Canis lupus familiaris: one gene and its partner. The protein of the gene in region 1 binds, or shares a complex with, the protein of each later gene. Links are inferred from orthologs where the notes say so. Each region holds a gene or a part of one and is shown in the gene's direction. Other genes may lie near its edges.

The links. Proteins that work in one complex are often made in the same cells at the same time.
Region 2: the proteins of OPRL1 (region 1) and PNOC are in contact, whole or in part, in a cryo-EM structure (PDB 8F7X), measured with the Homo sapiens proteins. The link is inferred for Canis lupus familiaris from reciprocal best matches to the Homo sapiens genes OPRL1 and PNOC. Residues at the interface, in NP_000904.1 of Homo sapiens: Gln107, Asp110, Gly114, Phe115, Trp116, Val126, Ile127, Asp130, Tyr131, Met134, Gln192, Glu194, Ile198, Glu199, Cys200, Leu201, Val202, Ile219, Val279, Gln280, Val283, Gln286, Gln291, Pro292, Ser293, Val298, Leu301, Arg302, Thr305, Tyr309; in NP_006219.1 of Homo sapiens: Phe130, Gly131, Gly132, Phe133, Thr134, Gly135, Ala136, Arg137, Lys138, Ser139, Ala140, Arg141, Lys142, Leu143.

What each region holds. Positions count from the first base shown.
Region 1 is NC_049245.1:48,374,860-48,379,918, forward strand, and holds part of OPRL1 (nociceptin receptor), read left to right. Parts: exon of another isoform or gene 1-1,527; 5' UTR 1,528-1,620; exon of another isoform or gene 1,621-2,815; intron 2,816-3,264; 5' UTR 3,265-3,296; coding exon 3,297-3,529; intron 3,530-5,059.
Region 2 is NC_049246.1:29,394,409-29,398,975, reverse strand, and holds part of PNOC (prepronociceptin), read left to right. Parts: intron 1-2,458; coding exon 2,459-2,849; coding exon of another isoform or gene 2,850-2,860; exon of another isoform or gene 2,861-2,907; intron 2,908-4,567.

The sequences.
Region 1 (5,059 bases):
GAGCCTCTGGGCCCCACGGCCTGCCGCGAGCGCCCGTGACTCCCGGGAGCAGCCGGCAGCGGTAAGCACAGTTTGTGGACACGTGGTCTGTGCCGTCGTTCCCGTGAGCTGCGAGCTCTGGCTGTCCTGGGTGCCCCGTGATGTGGGAAACTTCCTTCCCCTCATAGCCCATGGGCGAGTCCTGGGGGCAGCAGGGTGCCCTCCGTCCGCGGGCTCGGCTGCCTTGCTGTGGACGCTCTGCCGAGGGCAAACGGGCCATCAGCCGCCGCCCAGGTCCTGTGCGTCTGCTTCTTTTTGGGGGGGGCGCGACGAGAGAGCGTGTGTGCATGGGGGGCGGCAGAGGGAGAGAGGAGGCGCCGGCAGGCTCCACACTCACACGCAGCTCGACGTGGGGCTCGACCTCACCACCCCGAGATCGTGACCTGTGCTGAAATCCACGGGTGGCGTACCGGACCGAGCCCCCCGGGCCCCAAGGCTGCTGAAACGCCACGATTCCTTTGGGGACGTCCTTTACCTCTGCCTCAGCTGGCGATTGGCCCCGAGGGGTGTGCCGCCGAGGGGTCTCAGGCTGAGGGCCCGCTGGATGGCAATACATGATCTGTTCCCAACAGTAGTGGGACCCCTCCTTGTTTCCAAGGTGCCTGGGTGGCCGGCGCTGTCCCCACCCGCTCCCAGCTTGGACGGGGACCCTCAGGCTCCGCGGCTGCCCACCGGCCGGTGGCTAGCTTTCATAGAACCACCTGTGTGCACCTGGCCCCACGGTCCCACGTCACCTGTGTTCTGTGCTGTCCGCATGTGATGTGTGTTTGAGGGTGTCCTGCTTTGGCCCCGGGCCCCTGGCAGGACGTGTCCCCTGCTGTCCTACGAGTGACACATGAGCCCTGGGTCTTACCCTGGCTGCTGGGGGGACCAGAGGCCCCGGGCCGTTTCCTCTGTGCCGCTGGCTCCCTCGTGGGAGCCCCGTAGGGTCCAGGGCTGGGCCACTGTCCCCCAGGGTGGGCAGTCAGCATCCCAGCCTGGCCACCCACTAGCTGGGTGACCAAGTCTGTCCTTGGCTAAGACTGTCCCTACGAGTGGCCAGATATCTGCCTCTGGCTGTCCTGCGTGCCAGGTCCCCTGGGTGCACTCCCTGGACGTCTTTCTGGACCAGCCTCACGGCCCCTCTTTCCCTCGTCTGTGCCTGAGGCTAGATTGCAAGGAGGAGGGCGTGGGTGCCTAGGGGGAGGCAGGGCCTGGGGTGGGCTGCTCAGACCCCGGGGGCGCGGCAGGGGGAGGGAGGCTACAGGAGGCCGAGCCTCCCCGGGCTCCTGAGGTCAGCGGGGTCACGTTTCCAGCGTCACCTGGAGAGTGCAGTGCACACGTGTGCCTCCTGGGTGTCTTCAGGCCTTGTTCTCTCCCGCTGCGCGCGGGACTTGAATGCACGTGGTGTGAGCTCACCTGTGTGAGTCTGTGCGTGTCTGAGCACCAGCCTGTGCTTGTGTGTTAATTCGTGTATCTGGGGGGGGGCATCTTCGTGTGTGTTTGCAGGCATGTGAGCCTGTGTGTCCGCGTGAGTGTTCCTCTGGACGTGCCCCGTGTCTGCACACGTGTCCCTGAGTCGGCTGCGGTGAAGATGCAGAGGTAAGTCCTGGGGGACGGCCTGGGATGCTGAGTCCTAGGGCGCCTGCTTGCTCAGTCCTCTCCTGATTTGCCAGGTATCCTAGCAACGCTGCTGCTCGTCGCCTAGCAACCAGGTCCCCATCCTTGGAGATGGATGCTCCCAGCAGGGTCTGGGCTATGGGGGTAGAGCCTGTGCAGGAAGAATGACCCCAAGGTTTCGAGGCTGGTGACTTGGCTCAGGGGTCACCCTCATGGCCTGTGAAGCACCCTCCCAGTGCTGGGAAGGAGGCAGCTCCGTGGGAGCTGTTGGGCTGCTTGGGTGCCAGGGAGGGTGGCCCAGGCTGTGAGGGAATGATGCTCAGATGTTGCTCTGGGACCCAGGTGTGGCAGGGACGCCCTCAGTATGTCTCAAAGGGGTGCACAGATCTGGGTTCTAGCCCTGTCTCTGCCCCTTTGACGGGTGGCTGCACAGCGCTGAGGCTGGGTGCTCCTGTCACACGAAGGTGACGGGGTGGTGGGGAGGGAGCGCTCAGGCTCACGCTCACGCTCACGCTTATGCTCACGGTGGGCAGGTGGAGCACACAGAGGCACCCAGGAGCACAGCACAGTGTAGGCACCTGCTTGGCTCTGAGCCCTGGGGCTGGCTGTCCCTGTGTCCCCCGCCCATGGGACCGCGGGGGCCGGCTCCCCGGGGAGTGGAGTGCCAAGCCAGGCGGGTCTGCGTCCACCCGAGGTCCTGGTCTCTGCATCTTGTGTGTGTCTCCCGAGTCTCCGCCCGCGTGTGTGGCATCTCTGGCCCGGGTCTCGGTGGTGTCCTTGGGTGTCTGTCCCCTGACCCAGTCCCGCGTGCGTCCATGTCCTGTGTCCGTGGGCCCGAGCCTGTCCCTGTCCTTCAGCTCCGTGTGCGCCCGGTGCTGTGGCCTGGCGGTGACACCCCCCTCGGCCGCAGCCCCTCCTGCTCCAGCGCAGTCTCCGCCCCCGCCCCCCACTGGCTGCGGGGCTGCTGCGTCTGCTCCTCGGCTCCAGAAGGAGCAGCTGCTCCAGCGGGCTGAGCTCCCCCTGCGCTCCCCCTGCGCTCCCCCGGCTCCCCCGGCTCCCCCAGCTCCCCCTCCGGCTTGGATCCGGGCTCCCCTGCAGCCCCTCCAGCCCCAGATCACCGGCCGGGATCCCTGCGGCGCTGCCAGTGCTGAGGCTGCTCGGCTCCCACCCGTTGCAGGTAAGGCCTGGGCAGTGGCCGCGGGTGTGGACCGGCGGGGTGGGGGGTGGAGGAAGAGGAAGGGGGCGGCTGGCTCACGCCCTGCGTCCCAGGTGTTTCTCGGCGTCTCCGTCCCTTCTGTGCCCGTGTGTGCGTGAGGGCAGGTCTGCGCCTGTGTGTGCGGCGTGTGCACAGGGATGGCGGTGTGTCCACGGTCCCTGTGGGTGGGCGCGTGTCTCCGCGTGTAGCTACATCCGCACATCCCACGTGGGAGTCTGCAGGCCAGACCAGACCGTGCCCTTGTCCACACGCCTGCCTCTCTCTGTCCCCGATCTGTGCGTGTCTGCTGTCCCCACGGTGTGTACGTGTGCGTGTGTCTGGGGCTGTCTGGGGGCACCGCGTGCCTGCGAGGCCGCCTCCGGGCTGGGTGAGGGCCGGGTGCTGCGGTCATGTGTCCTGTTCTCTCCCAGGTGCCTAGTGGCCTTGCACACAAGGAGGTGGCATGGAGTCCCTCTTCCCTGCCCCGTTCTGGGAGGTCCTCTACGGCAGCCACCTGCAGGGCAACCTGTCCCTCCTGAGCCCCAACCACAGCCTGCTGCCTCCCACCCTGCTGCTCAACGCCAGCCATGGCGCCTTTCTGCCCCTTGGGCTCAAGGTCACCATTGTGGGGCTCTACCTGGCCGTCTGCATCGGGGGACTGCTGGGGAACTGCCTCGTCATGTATGTCATCCTCAGGTAAGCTGGGGACCCGCCGAGGTCCCCTCCTGGTGAGTGCCACCTGCTGCAGAGGGGACACAGGCTGGGGGCTGTCTTGGGTGGGCTTGGCAGCTAGAGATTTTGCACAATTCCCATTCAATTTTTGGTCATCCTGTCAGGCAGGGGCAGGGGCAGGGGCAGGGTCCGGGTCCACACGGAGGCCCTGCATGCTCGAGTCTTCACGGCTGGGGCACCTGACTGGGGGAGGGCGTGGGAGGGGATCAGCTCTGCCCACCCCAGTCCGGCCGGGGGTGGGGTGCAGCCATGTCCCAGATGGAAGGTCACCCTGACTCCCTGATCCGAGCTGCGGGCCACCCTGGGAGGGGCTCACGGCTGGCACAGCGACCCGGGAGGCGGCTCTGGCGGCCTGTTGCAGGGCCCGCGTGGCCAGGTGCCCGAAGCCCCTTCCCTGGGGCCCCAGGGCTCCGTCTTGGCTGGAGTCGGGGCTGACTCAGCATCTGCTGGTGCTCAGAGTGGGGAAGCCCGTGGGATCAGGAGCGGTGGCCCGGCTGCAGGTAGGGGGACACCACAGGGGGACAGTGTGAGGACGTGCATGTGTGTGTGTGTCCGTGTGTACACATACGTAGAGCATGCACACACACGTGTGAATGCACATGCGTAGGTGGGCACAGAACTGTTGGTGCCCACACACGGATGTACGAGAGTGTGTGCACATAGGAGCTAGTGTGGCACATGGTGTACACGCATGTGCACACACGTACATGCATGCAGGTGCACCTCAGGCTGGACATGCACACATGAGCACGTACACGCGAGTGTGCACACCGTGAGCGTGTGGACATGGACGTGTGCAAGGTGTGTGTTGGTGTGTTCGGTGCACATGCTTGCACAAGGGGCAGGGGAGAGCTGCTCTGGGCCCAGTGCTGAGCTCCAGGGGCCGGGGCTCACACGCCCCTTTGCGTCTGGAGGTGCACAGGCGTGCCGTGCGTGAGACGCGCCCCCACCTGGGTGGTCCTGTTCCCTTCTCCTTGTCGCTGCCTCTCCGCCTCTGTCCTCTGCACTGGGCGTCAGCGCCCGGAGCCACGTCCTGATCAGAGCAGACAGGGGCGCTGTGTCGCCTACGGCGGTCCTTGCACAGCCGAGCGGCCACGGGCCCGAGGGGCAGCGCCGAGCATGCTGGGCCCGCACTGGGTGGGCTCCTCGGGAGGCAGAGACCCCAGGCCCCCCGCCCTGCTCTTTCTAAGAGATTTTATTTTTAAAAAATTTTTAGAATTTATTATTATTATTATTATTTTTTGAGATTTTATTTTTTAAAGAGGGGTTTTAGGTTCAAAAGCAAAGCTGAGAGGAAAGGACGGAGGTTGTGCAGACTCCCTGTGCCCTGCGGGCTCATCCCTCCTGAACCCCAAGCCTCCAGCACCCCCTGCCCCGTCTACTGTCTCCAGAATGTCATGCACCCGGCATCACAAGTGTGCAGCTTTCTCAGATTGGCTCCTTCCCCTTAGTGATATGTGCTCAGGACTTCTCCATGGCTTTTCATGGCTCCTT
Region 2 (4,567 bases), on another chromosome or scaffold:
CTTGATCACCAGTTCAGGTCGTGATCTCAGGGTCATGGGATCAAGTCCTCTCGGCTTCAGGCGCTGTGCTCAATGGGAAGGCTGCTTCTCTCCCACTCTCCCTGCCCCTCCCAACCCCTCTCTCTAAAATAAATTAAATAAATAAATAAATAAATAAATAAATAAATAAATAAATAAATAAATAATTTTGAGATTATTTGGATTCCCACCCAGACCAAGCAGAAGAGCAGACTTAAGGTAGAGAAGGTATATCACCTGCTAGTAAGAAAGACCTAAAGTAACAATGGCTTAAATAAGACAGCGATTTGATTCCTCATAAAGAAGTTGGGAGGTAGATAATCCAGGGCTGGTATGGCAGCTTTACCACATCGCCAATGTCCCAGGCTCCTTCTCTTTCTACTTTATCCGTATATGGGTGCCACTCCCACATGGCTTCCATCCTCTGAGTCACTTCATGTCTTCAAGATAGCCAATTGAGTTCCAGCCAATTGAGTTCCAGCAGGAGGCTGGAGGACGGGGAAAAAGAAGGAAGAAAGGATGCTCTCCCCTGATGAGTCAGCCTCCTACTTTCCCAGGAGCCCCACCTTGTCACTTCCATTTTTATGTCATTGGCCACCTCTGGCTAAAAAGGAGTTTGAGAAACATACATGTGGCCTTCTGGAAGAAGACAAGTGTTCTGTTAGGAAGGAAGCGGCAAGATGGGTATGGAATGAGCAACTGGCAGTCTCTGCCCCAGAAGGGAATTCTTAACAACTTGCATTTAAAGTGCTAGTTAGATACTTTGATGGTGATACCAGACAGGGATCAGAGAAGTGTCTGGAGTTCAGTGGATGTCAGGCGCTGAACCTATAGACCTCGGATGCTCTGAAAGTTATGACCAAAATGTTCAGAAATGAACAGTCACCAAGGGGAAGATTGTAAAGAGAGATAAGAATCTTGAAGAATCTTAAAGATAGAATCTTAGGAACCCAGAAGGAAGGAGTCTGAGAGGTGAGTGCAATGTCAGAGAATTTTCAGGAGGGTGTGGCCTGTGCTGCCAAATGCAGCATAGTCTGTGACAACGAGGCCCAAGTGGATCTGGTGACTGGGAATTCACTGGTGGTCCTCGAGAGGGCAATTAGTGGAAGAAGAGGGCAGAAAGCAGATTTCAAGGAGATGAGGCAAAAATGGAAGATGCGGAAATGGAGGCATGAGTACAGACCACATCTTGGAGAAGCTTGGCAGAGACAAAAGAGGGTCAGGGTCAAGAGTGGCAAAGGGTCGCAGAGAAGCGGGACTGGAGGAGCCATTTTTTCAAGTTCAGTGTGATGGCTATAAGGTATGTGATTTAGCTTCATGCACAAGGAGGGATCCTTGTTTAGGGATCCGGTGGGAAACCTTGCCTACATTAACATCTGTGCCACTCTGAACACTATGGGGAGGCTTTTGCTCCCCAGATAGGGGATACTGGGCACACACTCCAGTCTTCTGATGTCCCACAGCTGTCCAGACAGAGCAGTATCTCTTGATGCCCTGTAAGCCAGGCAAGAGCTCCAAGGTTTGATGAAGGGCTCCGCAGCTACCCAGTGACTGTGATGGCAAGGTCAAGTTGAAATGGGGTTTTCATCTGGCGGAGGACAGAAACACAGAGAAGTACTTGGGGTGAAGCAAAGACAGCAAATAGTAAAAGAAGTTGGAGGTTAGATGCTTCCAAAAAGCACAAAGATAGGAATGTGGGAAGCATGGCCAAGGCCAGAACAAGTCAGGAAGGGTATGGAAACCTATACCAACCAGGGTGTTGGTATAGACTAGAAGTGGAAGACACCTGGAGAGACAGAGCAGCAGCAGAAGTTCCCAGAGCCCTGGCAGGTCTACTGGATGGTATCTGATGGCCCCTCTTCCCCACCTAAACCCGACTCCAACCTGTCTACATTCCAAAGGGTCTTGACCCTCATTTCCTATAACTGAGACACAGGTAAGTGAGAACGAGTATATGTGGGATGAAAAATGAACCACACCAGGGTTCATCTCAACATGCAGATTTAAGTACATGCTTTGACATCCCCAGCTTCTTAAACCAAACTGATCTCTCCCAAGCCTGGGAAGAGAACAAAATAAGATTCTTTTTTATGGGTGAGTCGTGAGTCGTATTGGCTTCAAAAACTCAGCTAGTGCTCTGAGTGTGGTTTGGGGCATTCATTCCGCACTGACTTTCTGTGATACCTGTGGTAAATTAACTCACCTCTCTGGCCAGATAGTTTTCTGTGTCTTTGCAACTCTGAAATTCTACAAACCTGAGTGATTATGTGTAAAACTGCTACACGATACCTAAAAAAGAGATGCTTCAGAAGCACTTGCATTGGTACCAATGTGGATTTTGTATGCAATAGAAGGATTTTATGTCATCACCTTGGACTAATGGACATTCCCAATCCTTCTCCTCCCTCCCTCCCTCCCCACGCTGCCTATATCTTTGCAGGTGTGCATCCTTGAGTGTGAAGGGAAGGTCTTCAGCAGCCCTCTCTGGACTCCATGCACCAAGGTCATGGCCAGGAGCTCCTGGCAGCTCAGCCCTGCTGCCCCAGAGCACGTGGCAACTGTCCTTCACCAGCCAAGTACCTCTGAGATCCAGCTGAAGCGCATGCCTCGCATCAGGAGCCTAATCCAAGCCCAGGAAGGGACCGAGCCAGGCATGGATGAGGCTGGAGAGATAGAGCAGAAGCAGCTGCAGAAGAGATTTGGAGGCTTCACTGGGGCCCGGAAGTCAGCCCGGAAGTTGGCCAACCAAAAGCGGTTCAGTGAGTTTATGAGGCAGTACCTGGTCCTGAGCATGCAGTCCAGTCAGCGCCGGCGCACCTTGCATCAGAATGGTAATGTGTAGCCGGAAGGGGAGCCCCTCCCAGCTGCACCGTCCACTTCAACCCATGAGTGAGTTGGGCACGAATGAGCTGGGGGCAAAAGGAAACCTTATATACCCAACTGTCTTAGCCTTTCTCCTGGGCCTGGAAGCACATTAGCCCCCAGATACATACACACACACATCCCAGACCTCCCCAAGGTATTCAGCTCCTGGGAGGCAGGGAAGGTATATTCACCTCTCTGCCTCCTACCTATCCTTTCTCTAGGGAGCAAACATTTTCCTCAGATTGTTCCTTAGGGCTGACCACTGCCATTTAGAGATTGGTTACCATGGGGATAATAGTAGCCTGTTAAGATAACTAATTCCTCTATCACTCTCCAGGAGCTCAGTTACTATGGGGACAGTTAAGTGGACCAATCTACCTATCCAGTTGCCATAGTAACCATTCAGTTCACCTTTCCTCAGAGACTATCTAGGAACCCATAGCTAGACCTACTTCATCATCATCACTGAGCAAGGCTTAGAGAATCTGGGCCATCTTATGCCCAAGGGAATGCTTCTACATGTACTATAATACATATCAGATAATAAACATCAAACCCTCTAATTTATTGCCCAGTCATTACAAATTCCACTTTCCTTGGTCCGTCACCCTGTACAGAACTTCTAGTGGAGTAGAAAACTAGCACAGTGGAATTTTTCTGAAAATCTAAGAAAATTCTACTCATCAAACATATGTGCCTTAATTCATATATGGGAATCTGATTATCTGCAGAGCCTCATACCTCTTCGTTAACAGTAGAAACTTACCCTAATAGAAAGAACTAATCAATTGGTCATAAACATTCCCCCGAACATTACCCAAGTGAGGCTTTTCCCTGATTTAGGGGCATTAAAAAAGTCTACATGTGCTGTTTTATTTTGCTCTCTATATGTCAAAGGTAGCCAGATCATTAATAATCCTCATTTTCAAAGTATATTAATACAACTGTTAATCTTTGGCACCCACACTTCAGCATGGGGGCAGCCCACATAGCTCTTTGCAGGTAAGCTGGTTGTAGAAGATGCATTACCAAATACAGACGTAAGTATTAAATTGTGAGGAGAAGGCTGCCATGTGCATTTTAGCAGAATGACTAATCTCTAAAGGCCCTGAATTAACCCTCACGGTTTTTGAAGTCATACTTTTGGATCCTTAACAAGGATCCTATTCCTTCCTAAGCCATATTTGCATAGTACCTAACACAGCATATCTTTCAAAAGTGGCATGGATTGAATTCTTTCCAATCTTAGATATTTATTCTTCTTAAAGTCGCTCTTAAGGGACACTGAGGCTCTTGTCTAATTTTGAACCACAGCTATTTTCTTTTCCTAAAAAGTTTAAAATCAGTCACATTAGGGGCACCTGGGTGGCTCAGTGGTTGAATGTCTGTCTGCCTTCAGCTCAGGGTGTGATCCTCGGGTCCTGGGATTGAGTCCTGCATTGGGCTCCCTACTCATTGGAGAGCCTGCTTCTCCCTCTGCCTATGTCTCTGCCTCTCTCTGTGTGCCTTTCATGACTTTTAAAAATCTTTTTAAAAATAAAAAAGGAAAATAAAAAATAAAATCAGTCACATTAGCAGAAATCAATTTATTTAAAAAAAATTTTTGAGCCCCTATTCAGACAATTGACTTTACTAGTTTTCTATTAAGCTTCCAGCTGAGAGGCACTGAAACATAACTTGGTAA